Linked DNA regions of Caenorhabditis elegans. The protein of the gene in region 3 interacts with the protein of the main gene of each other region in a pairwise test. Each region holds a gene or a part of one and is shown on either strand. Other genes may lie near its edges.

Region 1 (3,469 bases), on a different chromosome or scaffold from region 3:
AATTTTGGAGCTTTTAATATTTTTTCGAGTGGCTTCCGACAGCTGTTCTATAGTAACACTAGCGTTCTATTTTCAAATCTCAAAAGCAACAAATCAGTAGAAAAACAAAGAGTTTAGAATAATACAAGAAGTAGAGTTATCCTTCTTCTCTTTCTCTGAAATGGGCCATTAGGTTCAGCCGTCGTTGGAAGAGTTTGTCGTGTCCTCTTCTCTCCGACAAGGCAATTTGTTATCCCTTTTCTTCTTTCCCGCCCCCCGTTTTTGACATACTTATTTTTTGAAACTTTATGTGTAGAGCAACAGACGACAACGAAAAAGACAAAAATTTGGCGGCGACAAAAGAAAAGACGAAAAGGCGCAAAAAAAAGGTGACAACAAAGACGAATGAAGTAGGAGACAGAGTCTTGAGTCGTGCGAAGCTTTTATTCGATTCTGGCTGTCGCATCCACTTTGATCTCATGCTTTCTGAATTATATTATGATGAGCTGAAACAGTACTTTAGATGACTTTTTATTCGTATCTTCTTATTTACATGCGTGATACAATGAAACTGACTCGTGACTGATGTAATTTGGATGTTTCCCAATAATTATTTTAGGGGCAAGGCAATACAAGGAAAAAGGAAATAAATTACTAAATATAAGCACAAACTGAATGAGAATCACAATTGTTAATTTCCTCCAAGTCTAGCTCCAACACCTCCTGGCCATTGGTGTCCACGTGGCTGCTGTCGTGCTCCTCTGATGTTTCCATCTTGACCGTGAATACCTCCGTCTTCGTCAGGAATCAAACGATGCAAAAATTCAGGAGTGGAGATCAAATCAACGCCGTATTCGTCTGGATATTTAAGAGCCACAAAGAAATAGGCATGTCCAACCAGAATTCCGACAAGTTCGTTGGTTCCACCACCACGGAGAACGGCATTGAAGCCCCAGAGCACCCATGGAAGGTAGCGAGCTGGGAATCGCATTCCAAACCAGAACGATACAATTGTGTCCTTGTTGACTTGGCACCAGACGTAAAGTACTGAGATCACCATCGGTTCGAGAAGGAAGTAGATATCCAGAGCCATGCAAAGTCCCTGCAAATTAATTATTTCCCATTTTAACACATTTATCTTTGATTTTTAAAATTATGCAGGATATTGCAATGTTATTTCCTTTTTTTTGAGCCAGCTTTAACATATTTTAAATTATATCTTCCAAAATTCGCATTAATAACTCGATAAAAGAGAACATTTAAATATAAAAGTTTTGGGATTTAAAATTTTTTCAGGATATTTTTAAAACAAAGATTTAAAACCGTACCGAGCAGAAGAACCAGTTGAAAATGAGCATGAAAAGGTAATCCGCTGATCTTCCGCGATATGTTTCACTTTCCAATGCTTTTGAATAGTTGTAAAGAAAATAGCACATCATCAGCCAATGGAATCCCGTCTGCGGTGTGACTGGATAATATATTAACGCTGTCAGAGGCCTCCAGAACTGAAATGTTTAACAATTAGTCTTATATAATTTCTGGACAAAATAATAAAAGTGTACCTGGAACTTGTTGACTACGAGATCCCATTGTAGAAACATCCATTGTACATTGATGAATCCGAATCTACCGAGAAGCGGTATAATTGTGGATGCGAGGAACCAATATCGTGTCACAATAGGGATCCCGAGAAGGAAATTTTCTAAATCCATCTGAAAATGTATTGATTTGCAGTGAAATATTGAAAAGGACAGATGAAAAGAACCGTAGAGAATAAAAGCTGACGTAGGATAAGGAAATACATACGCGTGTACCAAATTATCGATTTTTCTTTAACATGTTGAAATTTATGTTTTTCGCGCACCAAAATTTTTTAAATTATTATCAGGTTAATATTTCTGTTCGATTTTAAGGTATCTATACAATAATTGAATTATTTCAAATGAGAAAAATACTTTTTTTTTTACTTTAAGCAAAAACAATGGAAATCACAATTTTCTCCTTTAAAACGTTTTATTTTCCTCCGATAAAAAACCATTCTCAAAAATTCTTATCAATAATACTTAAAACGAAGTATTTTTTGTCATTTATGATAGTGTAATTTTCAAGACTTGCTTGACGCAGTGAAAACGCTTTGAAACCGAGGTTTTTATTGCTCAATTCCATGAAATTATGTTTAATATGTTGAAAATAAATATTTTAGTGAAAAATATACTAAAAATAAAAGATAAAAATGAAAAATAAGAAGAAAAAGAGAAGCATAGCAACGCTTTTCCACGCCGTCAATGCACTCTGGCGGGCAAATCGCTTCGAGACCCATTGACCGTACCCCTCTTCTCTCGTTTAAGTGAACGTGTCTTAGTCGGTCACACCACACACATAATTGATCGATTTGACGCTGAATTGAGATGGAATAAACAAGTTTTGCCACCTGTTCCATTTCCTTCAGATTTATTTGCAATATCTCAATGCTTTTTCTCCGCCAAAATTATTGATTTTTCCTTTAAAACCATTTAAAATGCACAAATGCCGCCCGTCTCGTGACTTTTCTCTATTTTTAAGTCGTTTTATGGCTTCTTATCACATTTTCCTTATTTTCAGAAGAATGACGGAAGATATCAACGTTGTGCCAGAACAAGTGTCACCATCTGATGATGTGGAATTGACGATCCGACAGGCGTACCAGGCAGAAAGCGATCTGAAATTTTCGTGTCCGACAAGTTGGACAATCAAAGAAGTCAAGGAGCATGTAAAGAATTGCCTGAATAATCATCCGGTGAGATTATAAATTCTGAAAATCCATAAAAAATATTTTGAATTGTTTTAGGAAGTTGTCACACAACGGCTGATTTTTTCTGGAGCTTCTCTGAACAACGAACAGGTTTTGGCAGACGTTTTAAGAGAAAGGTGAGTATTTCTTGACTGTTAATAAAATTCTGTTATAAAAATAAAGAAAATTTCAACAAAGATGGAAAATTTTGCAATTAATTATAAACTGAAATTATTTTAGAAATCATGTCGCCGGTGAACAAATCTTCTTTCATTTGATGATCGCACAACCATATCAACAAACAACTCCAACTGCGGATGTTCGTAGAAGAAATGTAAATAATACTGCATCAAATCAAAAGTGAGTTTTAACGTTTAATAGATATTTTAATAATTATTTGAAAATTATGTTTTTTTGCCGAGAAAATAATATTTTTAATTTAAAAAACCAAGTTAATTTTCAGTTCGGCATCGGGATCGGCTCTCAATGAATATGCTCAGAACATGGTTGCCTGGCAACAGTACTGGAATGCCTACAATCAACTGTCTCCGGAAGCTCAAGTTTCCGAGCATCAGCGATTAATGGCTCACTACTACACATACGCATCGACAACTCCCGCTGCACCAATTTATCAAGTTCCCGCCAACCAACAGCTTCAACAAAATGCAGTGGCGTGGAGAATTCGAGTTCAAGGGGTGGCCGCTCCCGCTCGAGCCAACG
Region 2 (5,404 bases), on a different chromosome or scaffold from region 3:
ATATGCATTAGTGCATGAGTCAAAATTGCCTGGCAAAGTCTCGACGATGGTCACCGGTGCAGCCTGGAATTATTGCATTTATAATTAATTAATTATTAACTCTTAATAACCTCATAATTGAAATAGTGACCAATAAAAGCTCCTTCCAATCTCAAAGTCTCGATAAACCACTCGGAAAATTCTCTCAAATCGGCTCGCTTCTTGTCATTCAGGTTATTGACAGTCACGACCATCGCCCATTTCGACTTGAAATCCGCCTTCTGATGGGCAACCATTTTCTGAAAAATGTACATTTTTATTAATTAAACAGTAAATTTTACAAGAAAACTGAAGAAACAGGCCGAGAAAATCAGAAAAAATGAAAAAGAAATCTCCGAAATTAATTTTTGAAACAATTTCCCGCGTTTGAAAATGGCTTCGTACGGTAGAGCGTACTTGCAGCTTGTTTGAAACCTCAGTTTTAGGGATCGAAATCTCCCATGGAAGTAGAAATGCCAGGAAAACATGATTTAAACACAATTTTACTCATAAAAGCTTTTTACAAATACAAAAATAAATAAAATAAAGTCGAGAAAAGAGACAAATCATTGATAGAACACACGAATTGCGAGGCGACGTCGGTTCTGGGAATAGAAGAACTCGGAGGAAAATTTGGAGTAGGAACGGCTGGGGATCAGAGCATAGTCGATGGCGAGCTGGAAATCGGAAATTGAAGTTTTATTCAATAGAATTATAAAATAACCTTATCAATGGAAACTCCAGGATCCGAAAAATCATCGAAGTAGTTGCCAGTGACTCCAACACGGATTGTCATGCTTTGTCCGCTCAGAAGAACTCCAGAAGTTGGAGCAGCGATGAGGTAGGCGTCGGCATTTGTCTGAAATTATCGGTTTTCAAACAATTTACATTATACAATTCAATTTGTGTATATTACGGGAGCACAAAATTTCTAGAATGCGTCTAGAAATTTCTAGAAATTTCTAGATTTTCTAGAAATCTAGAAATTTCTAGATTTCTAGAATGTTGACGCGCAAAATATCTTGTAGCGAAAACTACAGTAATTCTTTAAAGGACTACTTTAGCACTTGTGTCGATATACGGGTTTCGTTTTCGAAATGAAAACAATTCGTTTCTTCGAATTATTTACTTTTTTGCTTAATTTTAATATTCTATCGATATTTCGAAAATCCATATCTAATTAGCTATCTAAAAATTTCTATCTAGAATCGAGCCGTTAAATCGACACAAGAGCTACAGTAGTCGTTTAAAGAATTACTGTAGTTTTCGCTACGAGATATATTGCGCGTCAAATATGTTGCGCCATAAGCATTCTCAGAATTTTGTGTTAAGTATTATCAAAATATATAAACTGACATGTGAAACGTGGCTTATTTTTTATTTTGTTTTTTATTTAAGCTCCTCCCATTCCTGGCCTTTCGTTAAAATTTTTATTTATTAGCTCATTTAAAAAAATGGGAGGCGCTTAAATAAAAAACAAAATAAAAAATAAGCCACGTTTCACATGTCAGTTTATATATTTTGATAATATCGTAATAATTTGCGAGTTAATTTTACACGCAAATTCGAATTTTCAATTTTTTTTTTCAGCAAAAATGTTTGGAAAATCACAAAGTACCAACTTGTGCGTAAAGTCCGATGCATTGAAGTCGGTGAATTGCACAAAAACCACAATACATACAATTTTACGCGCCAAACCGAGACCTCACCTTCAAAGCGAACATAATATGCGATTGCGAGACGTTAGTGACTCGAATAACTTCTTCCAGCTTGCCAGCGGCAAACGTGATCCGGTCGGCCGGCACGGTGACAATATCTGCTGCAGCTCCACCGCAGGCCAACGTCATCGCCGACATGGTCTGGAAATTCCGGCTTTCCTCGATTTTCATAGTTTTCAAAGTAGATGGAGACGGATTCTGGGTGCTCTGCATATCAAGTGACGGCACGAAACTGCACGCTGTGCTCATTTCCAAATTCTCTTCCACTGGGAATATGTATTGCAGCGAGTCATCCTCAGAAAACTGGGTTATCGTTGGTGTCATCGCATCGTAGTTCCGCAGAAAACCATCAGTCTCCAGCTGTGAAACCAGTGACGTCAGAACTTCAAGCTTCTCCGCGAATTTCCAGGTGGCGGGCACTGCGGACAAGTTGGAGCGGACCGCGTGGAAGAAAAATACGCCAAGGAGGCCACACTTGCAGAGATTGTATCCTTGAGCTGTTCCAGCGAATTGATCGATTAGAGCAGTGAGCCCGTAAAGGGTCCAGTAGAACAGAATTGAGTGCTGGAAAAATTAGCTTTAGTTTAGTGGATTTTTCGATTTTTAGAACATTTCCACCAAAATTATATGGGGACTATTCACGGATTTCTGGCTTCCCTCATAAATTGAAATGGAAGAGTTTTTGCCGAACTAGGCCATTTTAGCTCGGCCATATTTGGGGTAGATTTACGGCGCGTTGCGTGTCTTGTCGCGGCTCGGTTTCAGTTGTAAAACTAAATGTATTTGTCGGTGTGGAGTTTCAATGGAGCGCGAAAAATTCAATGAGGCAGGCCAGAACCCTGTGAAAAATATGGGTACACGGGCTTCCAGTCTCCCTCATTGCATTTTTCGCGCTCCACTGACAATCGCCAACCGGACAACGGGTGGAGAAGTCGTGTACTCCACGCGGACAAGACATTTAGTTTCACAATGAAAACCGAGCCGCGACGCGACACGCAACGCGCCGTAAACCTACCCCGACCGTGGCCGAGACAAAATGGCCTAATTCGGCAAACTCTTCCATTTCAAAATGTGAAGAAAGCCAGAAGTGGATACGGCCGTGCGGTACACCGACATCGATGCACCATGTTTTACGCGCAAACGAAGGAGGAAAAAATCCGGTGTATTACGTTGGTGGCCGAGTTTTTTTTTTCGCGACCACGTAGTGGAATTCGAAACTCACATATCCCTGCTTATCAGTCATCTGATTTGTCAAAACTCGATACGAAAAAAGAGCCGGCGGCACTGACGTCAGCGCGGTGCAAATTGTCTGAAAACAGAAAACTAGATGGCGGCTGCAAAAAATCAATAACCTGTGCATACTCTCCATTGATCAAGTACAAGCACATGGTCAGTGCAGATAATATGACAAGCTCTTTAGTTCCAACAAGCCCTTCAAAATATCGGCGCTCCCCTCCTCCTGGCTCGCCAGTCATTTCCAAATTGATCTGGCTCTTCTCGTGGCTAATGTGCTTCTGAGTTGCGGTGTCACCAGCGGCATGGTCTGAATGACGTCATAGGTGGCCTAGTTTACGGGGAGTGACGTCACTTACCGTAATAAAATTGCTTGCTTCGCTGTCCAATGCTTTCAAGCGCCATCTTCGAATTTGCTACTTTGCTAGCTTGTGAAAAATTCAAAATGATTGAAAATGCCCCCCCCCCCCCCTCCAAATAAAATTACGTAACTATTATTATTTTTATACTTCTCAAAGGTTCACGTTCCTATTATTGCATTTCCACAGCCGAAACATCATATTTGACGCGCAAAGTTTTCTTGTTCACGTGGAGTACACAAAGAAAGAACGAACTATTTTCTTGTAAACAATAGTCAACAGAAAAAAATCAATAAAATCAATAAAAAACCAGCATTTTTAAAAAGTAAGTCATTTTGAATATTCGCGAGGTTTGGGCAAATGGTATGACATGGAAAGATGAGAGAGAGAGAGAGGAAGAAACGTGGCAAAAAAACTGAAGAAATGAAAGAAAATATAGGGCTCTGAAAAACAAAATGGGAGAGATCCTGTGGGCGGCCGCGGAACGGTGATGACGTCAGCTCGCAATTGTACTACTGCAAAAAATTAAATTGAAAAGTGGCCTGTAAATCGGTGGCCGAAGTTTCCCCTATTCGAGGCCACGAAGCGCAGATCGCTGAACCTCATTCCTTGTGCGTATGTGCCTATGCCTTGCTAGTAGGTACGTAGGTAGCCTGAAAGACATGGGCACGTAAACAGGAAGCAGACAAGAAGTAGGTAGGTAGGCAGGCACTTTAGCAGGTAGGCAAGACGTATAAGCATGAGGCAGACCTAGAATAGAATAGGTAGGCATTGGATAGACAAGTAGGCAGGCATGTAAGCAAGTTTGCGTGAGGTAAGTAGTACCTTGCTAAAAACCTGCCTACTTCACGCAAGCTTGCTTACACGTCTGCCTACTTGTCTATCCAATGCCTACCTACCTACTCCATGTAGTTTCATTAAGTTTCCGTCTGGCTTGCACATGCTTGTTTCTATACCTACCTACTTGCCTATCCAATGCCTGCCTACCTGCTTCTTGTCTGCCTCGTATTTACGTGTCCATGTCTTTTTGAGCTGCCTACATACCTGCTTTACGCCTATCTACCCATTTGTCTTTCTCCTACTGTCCTGCTTACCTGCCTGCCTACTAGCCTTCCTCAAGCCTATCTGCCTACTTGATTACCTAGTGCCGTGCCTACGTGCCTATGCCTTTCTAGACTACCTATGTACCTGCCTTAAGCCTATCTGCTTACTTGCTTACCTTACAACCTAAACAAATTTATATTATTTGTTAGGTTACCTACGTACTTTGCCTCATGCCTGCCTGCCTTATTTTCGTCGGCATACTTGCCTACCTTACGCCTATCGTACGCCTACTTATTTAAATCGTGCCTACCTACCCAATTCTATGCAAATTTATGGAGATTGGTATCGCAAAATCAGGAAGTAAGAAGCAAAAAAAAATCGGTGGCCAAGTTTTCTTATTTTTCTCGGCCGCGCGGACAGGCGTACAAAAAGCAAACTTAGCAAAACACCGAGAACTTATAGAACAACTCAACAGTTTCTTACCAAATTCACTTTTTTGAGCTATTTTATCTTATGCGCATTTTTTGAGGCTTCAGTCCAAAGCATGCTGCATTTTGGCCTAAACTTTACAATTTTTCGTTGCAAATGACCAAGTTATGGGCGGAGTCAATGAAAAGTGTTTACCTAAATGTGTATGCTTGATGAGTTGTTGGCGGAAAGGTGCGAAGAGGTCGGCGGCGCGGCTCGTCGGATGCTTGGTGTCCGGCGCCAAACCTGCAAAAAATGTTGGGTGTAAAATTGATTTTTTGTATGAAATTTTCGAATATGCTGGTAGCAAAATTCGTATGAGCCTTTAAATTTCGTAGGGGTACTGTAGTTTTGCATTTCTCATATTTTGATGTTCGAGCTTTTTGTATTGATTTTTAGAATTGATTTTTTCCGGTAAGCCGGCAAATCGGCAAATTGCCGGAATTGAAAATTTCCGGCAAGTCGGCAAATAGGCAAATTGCCGAAATTGAAAATTTCCGGCAAAACGGCAAATAAGCAGATTGACGGAATTGAAATTTCCGGCAAATCAACAAATTGCCGGAA
Region 3 (6,679 bases):
TGGTAGTGACTGCTTGTGCACTTCGACTCCCAATATATATGGTAAGTGATTATAAATTTGAATTTGTCAGTTCGAAATTTTATTGTAACAATCCTCAAATTTACTGGCTGAAACGGGACGTTGCAAATGTTTTCAGATGTTTCTTTAGAGATATAAACTGTAACACAAAATCAACTCATACTTTTTTTCATTTCAGCTGTGCAATCCGGAGCTTCGAAGAGCTGTAAAAAAGTCATTCACTCATAAAAGCGAACATCAACAAAAGATGCATCAAACCTTTTCTCTGATTGCAAAGATTTTAGTTTAATAGTTTCAATTCTATGTATGTAATTCAATTGTTTTAACTGTGATTTGTAATTCCAAATGATCAACGGGTCATCGGTTTTTTTCACAATTGTGACTAAATTCTTATAAATATGTAAATTTCAAGTGTAAGCATGACGTCACATAAGATGTGATTCTTTCTGCGTAACAATACCATTTCATAGTTCACTGCGTATTTTTGTTGCTGGTCATAAAGATTTATTCATAAAGCTGTGATTCTGCAATTTTTTTGACAATTCAACTTAAATTATTCAAAAAGGGCAGCGTAAAAGATCAAGAACTATTTAAATATTTACAAAACCCGTAGAAAGGTCATGAAAATCTATGTAAGGGAATGTTTGAGAAAATATATAAAGATGGGAGAATTAAGATAATCTAGGCAAACTCTATAAGCCCTGGCAACTCTCGTGGTCGACTTGTTTGTGCCGTGAATAAATCCTCAGTGAACTCCTCTCTTGGCTCTTTATCGATACTGAACTCGACAGATTTTCTGGGGATTTCTCCATTGTTTGGCCCAATGAATTCAGTTTCAGAAGAGGAAGAGGATGATGAAGAAATTCCAGCTTCTCCTTCTTTTGGCCTCATTTCTCCAGTTACTTCTGGAATTTGTTCACCTTCTGGGAACCATGGGCGAGCTGAAAGAAAATTGTGTGAAAGGAATGTGAAACAAATTTAAAAAACATAGAGCTCCTGTTTTAACAAATCCCCACTGTTTCAATAAATATATAATCACATACGTCTATGTCTTCCTCCATTTTCACTTTCAGATCTTTCAGTACCAATTAAAGTTGGTGGACGAGTGACTCCCAATGAGAATGGAGGTGATGGAGGTGGTTGTTGAGGGGGCATTGGCATTCCACGACCTGTAATTTTTTATTTAAGATAGAAAAAGTTCCAGAGAAAGAAGAATTATAGATGTTCAAAGTTCATATGATGTACGTGTTAAACTTGAAATGGAAAACAAAGACATTGATGCTTGATCAAGATAACTTTATGAACAGATGATTTTCCTTTTGAACGATTAGCTTCTGCTTTCCAGAAAATTCCTATAGTCAAACTTACCCAAAAATGAGAAAAAGTTTTTGACATTATCCATAAAACTTCCAAACTGTCCGGCTGGATGACCAGGATTTGGCTCATTTCCAAATTGCACCTGACTTCCCATTTCAACACCTTCACGTCCTCCACCAATTCCCCCATCAACTCCAACACGTTGTCCGCCGACAAGAGCTCCATTATTAGCTGAAAAAGGAAATTATTGAATATTACATCAAAGGCAAAATACAGTAAATTTAAATGAAAATTATTAATGAAAAGAAAGTTAGATTGAGAAGTCCATACTGTTAAAAAATGTTATAATTATAAATAAAAAAAATAATTATATCTAACTAATAGTAAGATTGTTAAATTTTTAATAATTAATACATGCTAAATCAATTATAAAAATAAAAGTTGGGTACAACTTAAAAATAACTTCGCATATAAAGTAATGGGAAGTCTTCAAAACCTTGGTTTGAATCTAATAGTAAGCCAGTAATCAACACATTTTCAAAAGAAAACTGTAATGACTCGGTCATCTTTCGAGCAGTAGGAGCTATTCAACATATAACAATTTACCGATTGGGCATGCAGCCAGGCCTACGTTATTAAATCTGTACACGAAGAGTTCTTAGTCTTTAGAGTTTTGCAATTTTGTTGTTAAAAGTGTTAATACTCACATCCCAAAGCAAATCCAGCTCTGTTACCAGCTAAATTAAAGCTACGATCACCTCCAAATCCTAAAATATTTGCTCCTTGTCCCATTCCCATGTCGAAGCCGCCATTGTTCTGCTGAGGATGGAGAAAGAATGATCCGAGATTTATTTGAGAAGAGCCTGTAAAATTGAATAATACGAGTGAATTATAGTGAGGTCAATAGTTAATTTCAATAGTAAATTTTTGTATTATTGATCTAACTCTTTAGTTTAAAGCTGAAAAACCATAATTTTACTTATAGGGTGATAAAATGGATGAATACCGTATTGAAAAATATTTAAAAAAAACTGAAATTTTTCCTTTACAGATAGAGTCAAAAAGTGGAAATTGATTTCTATTACTTTTGACCACACATGATTTTGGAAGCCGATCAAAGAAAATTTGCAAATAATTTCGATTTTAATTTTTTGCGATCCTAATTCGAACGTTGTAAGTTTCTGAATATGCAGCATTTCTCAAAAAAAAATGCAGCATTTCTCAAAAATTTGGTGATTTTCCTTGTGCTTCAGAAGCTTCAGAAAGCTTCAGAAGATCTTGTTTCAATGATTTTTAAAATACACACACACTCCCCATTAGCCATCATATGAGACCCACCCGCCAAACTGTCTGCTTCACCCGTTTACCCCCTTTTCTGATCATGTGTTTTGTCCTCTGTTACGGTCATCTATTCATTACACACATACAACATTTTTGCCTCCTTTTTGAATTCTTTATTCCATTGTTCAAAGAGTGCCTGACTCATTACAACCTCGTTTATACTTTCAAACAAATGAATTTCTTGTCACTCTCAAATTGGGAAGGTGTGGGTGGTTTCAGAGATTAACAAGGAAAAGCATCATTAAGTGTATAACGTGACTGTTGTTGTCTTAAAAGTGATGTCAGAGTGAAGACAATAGTGATTCGGGAGGAAAATTATATGAAGATACGTACCTTGTTTGATTGATAACAGTAGTATTAGAAGTGTTGATTTCATTCTTGATGCTGAAAATGTTCAACTTTAAATTTTAATACTTTTAATATGTAACAGCAAAATTGAAAACCTAGAAAATAAGATAACAGTTTTAGAAAAACTACATAATATTCTATAGTTTCAAAATTTTCAAATTTAGATTTCAGATGCAAAAAAATTGACTCAGAAAAATGAAATTCTAAAATAACTTCAATTGTAAAATAGAAAGAATTTTACTTTAAAAAAATTTGAATCTTTTAATCAGTTAATTTGGACTGAAGTCAAAGCATTGAAACGATTCAAAACTATAACTGAAAAGTCAGCCAATTTTATGAGCGAAATGAAATTGAAAGGAAAAAGTTATACTAGTATCTGTACTAAATAAGATGAAAGTAGTATAAATTGAAAGAAATCACTTTCAGTTGGACGAAGAAGCGAGAAAAAAATGTAGAAGAGCGGTTTGGTCACTTTTATGAAAAGTATTCGCTATGAAACCATGTAACGAAACAAGGCGGACCGAAGGAATTGACCTTGGTCACCTCGTATTCTCGAAAATGATGGACGATACAAACTGAAACTGATTGAAGGCTGTGAAAGGGGCAGAGAAGAAGAGAATGACTGCCCTCCCCTGCTACTACTTCTGATGCCATTTTACACCTATTGTATTGTTGGCCCCAATTTGCATTTACAAACAACGAGATTGAAAAGGAATTTGAAATGAGGAGAAGAAGGTGGAGATAGATGACTTGGAGGCTGGATGTTTGGGAGACTAAAAACACCAGGTTTCACACTTTTTTTTGCTGATTCTAGAATGATGGGAAATAGAATATGATTAGTAAACAAGATCGTTTGTTAAAAAAAAGTCCAAGGAAGGTATGCCCATTGGTTTTTTTATGCTAAGATTTATTTAATCAATCTGATTCTATTAACAATGTTAAAGTTGAAACCATGTTCAATATTTTTTTTTTGAGCATTAAAAATATCCATATTCACCGTGAAAACTAAAAAGCTAACACTAAGATTTTTTTTGCTCGTTTCTTTCTACACGTGAAGGGAACAAATCCAGAAAAGCCATCATTTTGTAAAATTACGAAGTCACTTTTGATAGTTTCGTATGTGAGTTAAATTTTCTTGTTTTCTTAAGAAATACACTTGGCAATTACAGAATGTTATCTCTAACAGCTCATTTGGTTTTAATTAGCACAATCATCGTCAAATGTTCTGCTTTCTCCAAAAAGCCCAGCGAGAGAGCCAAGCCTGCAGCCGTAAGTAGCTATTATGATTTGAGATTCAAAAATAATGTTTTTAGGTGAAAAAAGCTGTGGAAGATAAGCAACCAGTGAAAGTGACAGCTTTCGAACAAGCTTCTTTGAACGAGTGAGTTATCTGAAATGTGAGCGCTCAACAAATCTTAATATTTTTAGAGACAAGGCTGAGGCGATGTCAAATATTGAGCCATCTCCCAAGATCTCAAACTCCACCGTGCCTACAGCTCCTACTCCAAAGAAGGAAAAGAAGGTGGTGGCCACAACCAAAAAAACGGAAAGATCTGTAGCTCAGGGACCACCGCTAGTTTCGGAACATATTAAAGATGGTAAGAATTAAAAAACAAGTATGAAATAATTAGTTACCGTTTCAGAGAAGAAAATGCCATCGGTTCATAAGCCAATTCGAAAAGGATCGATTTACGCGAATGAATTATTGACTGAAAAACCATTGACTGACACTGAACCAGAACTTCATCCAGACAATCATGTTGTGAAGGCCAAATCGCCAAAACCAGTTGCTCGAACTCCAACTGCACGCCATCGTAATGCTCTGAAACCAGGAAAAATCAATGATAAAAGTGATGATACACTTCATGATGCTCCATCGATTCAGAAAGTAGGAGGTCCCAGTTATGAAGATGTGAGTGATTTGTTGATATTCAAAATAAAAAATAAAAATAGTTACAGGCAGCTTCTGTCAACGAAAAAGAAAAAGATGTCAATCCGAAATGAATCAACGAAGGAATGAGCTCGAATAAAAATGTATTGCCCTTTGAATACGATTAAGTCAATAAAATGTTTGCTGTATTCTTGTTGTAAATCTCATTGATTTCTCGTGGTTAAAAATAAATTCTAACTTCGAGAATCGATTGAAGAACTCATAACTCACAATCAGATCGAAAAGGAGGCTACAGTTTCGGGAATCAGCTTTCAAAAATCGGAAGGCGACGATGGTGGCGTCTCCCATAACAGCATCAACCTAACCAATTGGCAAACAGTAAAAATCTAAAATATATTTGTAACTGTTCTCCCAGTTGGTCCCCAGAAACAACCAAGAGGTGAGCTACCATGATGAACATTGCGAAGCAAGATAAATAGTGAAAATATGAGATTATTAGAATATTATTCATTTATTTCCATCTTTCCATGTTTCTGTCTCACATACACACTTCAGTCATCACCGATTATCCATTTGAGAGCACATTTATGCTTTGACGCTTCACGATGTTATCCTAAATGGCAGGGCCATCTGTCATCGGTTCATGCTCATATTGGCTCAAGTTGCGAGAGAGAAATATGGTGTTTGATGATCGGTGTATGTGTTATTCGACTCATGTTTTAATAGTTAGTCGTGATTGAATGAAAAGTTTAAAAATAATGTTTCAAAATCAGATTGATATCTTCGATGGGTATTTGACATTCAGTAATTATAGGTTAGAAAAATTATTCACATTATTTTTTTCAAATGGAGTTTCAAAATAATGGCCACACAAAAGCTATTTATATATATATACAATTTAAATCGTCTTCTGAGAAATTTTAATAATAGTAAGTTGCGCCGAGTTTAACACAAAAATCAGAAAATTAAAATTTAAAATCAATTGAATTGGAAAATACAACAATTTAAAAAAAAAATCTTCTGAAAAACCACACAATACATATTCGAGACCTATATCCAATTAAAACTTAAGAGGTTTTGCTTTGATGTTTACCACTTCTTCTATTCAAATCTCAGCGTAACTCTGTCAATCACACATTTCCCGATTACGTAACTTTGTCATTTTTTGAATGATGTAGATAATAGTCATCTGCAGGAACAATTTCCACCCTCAACAAATGCAATAAAATGAAATATGACCTCTTTTGATGAAGAAAAAGTGGAAGATCAAGTGTCTCGAATTTCTCGAAAAACAATCCAATCAAACTAAAATTTTCCACATCCGACCTTCGCAGGAATTTGAAAAAACAAATGAGGTCCTCGGGGTCTCCCATAGCAACTCACTCTGCGTCTCTTCCTCTCACGCACTGTCTCCCCAATATTTCGTAACTCTTGTCTGCGTCTCGTGCTCTCTACTTCTGACATCCGGAGCCGTCGGTCCATGCGTGCGCGAATTCGTATGTCTGGGCACTCTTTCTCCTCTTCCAAAGCCATGAAACCTTTTCCCATTTGTCCTTTCTTTCCATTTGGTCTCTTTGGTGGTCCCTTTTCTTATATATCCTTCAAATTGTAGTATTTGTTGTTAAGATTGATCTGAAGCTTTCCAAAAATGTTGCAAGTTATGTTTTCAATTGATACATATTTTTGTTTGAGTTGTTTTGAACATTTTTGGGGAAAGAAAGCTTTTTCCTCTGACGATAAATTTGTGTTCTGAAAAATCTTAAA

What was found.
Region 1: the proteins of B0034.1 (region 3) and cup-2 interact in a two-hybrid assay, tested with the Caenorhabditis elegans proteins (one large-scale study listed by BioGRID).
Region 2: the proteins of B0034.1 (region 3) and spe-47 interact in a two-hybrid assay, tested with the Caenorhabditis elegans proteins (one large-scale study listed by BioGRID).

Annotation. Positions count from the first base shown.
Region 1 is NC_003279.8:10,398,487-10,401,955, forward strand, and holds cup-2 (Derlin-1), read right to left. Parts: upstream 1,692-3,469; coding exon 1,542-1,691; intron 1,485-1,541; coding exon 1,308-1,484; intron 1,082-1,307; coding exon 671-1,081; 3' UTR 504-670; downstream 1-503. Other genes in the region: tag-353 (Ubiquitin-like domain-containing protein), read left to right, coding at 2,585-2,755, 2,807-2,886, 2,990-3,109, 3,213-3,469. UniProt on the Caenorhabditis elegans protein: Specifically required for the degradation process of misfolded endoplasmic reticulum (ER) luminal proteins.
Region 2 is NC_003279.8:2,615,530-2,620,933, reverse strand, and holds spe-47 (Major sperm protein), read right to left. Parts: upstream 3,406-5,404; 5' UTR 3,375-3,405; coding exon 3,329-3,374; intron 3,280-3,328; coding exon 3,089-3,279; intron 3,046-3,088; coding exon 2,959-3,045; intron 2,301-2,958; coding exon 1,728-2,300; intron 878-1,727; coding exon 743-877; intron 696-742; coding exon 585-695; 3' UTR 504-584; downstream 1-503. Other genes in the region: Protein pid-3, read right to left, coding at 1-63, 111-275; ctn-1 (Alpha-catulin), read right to left, coding at 3,825-3,843, 4,997-5,086.
Region 3 is NC_003280.10:5,966,484-5,973,162, reverse strand, and holds B0034.1 (Glycine rich superfamily member), read right to left. Parts: upstream 4,668-6,679; 5' UTR 4,660-4,667; intron 4,623-4,659; coding exon of another isoform or gene 4,453-4,622; intron 4,406-4,452; coding exon of another isoform or gene 4,338-4,405; intron 4,294-4,337; coding exon of another isoform or gene 4,195-4,293; exon of another isoform or gene 4,194-4,194; intron 4,145-4,193; exon of another isoform or gene 3,632-4,144; intron 3,061-3,631; 5' UTR 3,053-3,060; coding exon 3,010-3,052; intron 2,199-3,009; coding exon 2,043-2,198; intron 1,567-2,042; coding exon 1,387-1,566; intron 1,188-1,386; coding exon 1,062-1,187; intron 960-1,061; coding exon 700-959; 3' UTR 501-699; downstream 1-500. Other genes in the region: B0034.5 (G-protein coupled receptors family 1 profile domain-containing protein), read left to right, coding at 1-41, 197-307; B0034.4 (uncharacterized protein), read left to right, coding at 4,195-4,293, 4,338-4,405, 4,453-4,622, 4,668-4,936, 4,984-5,028.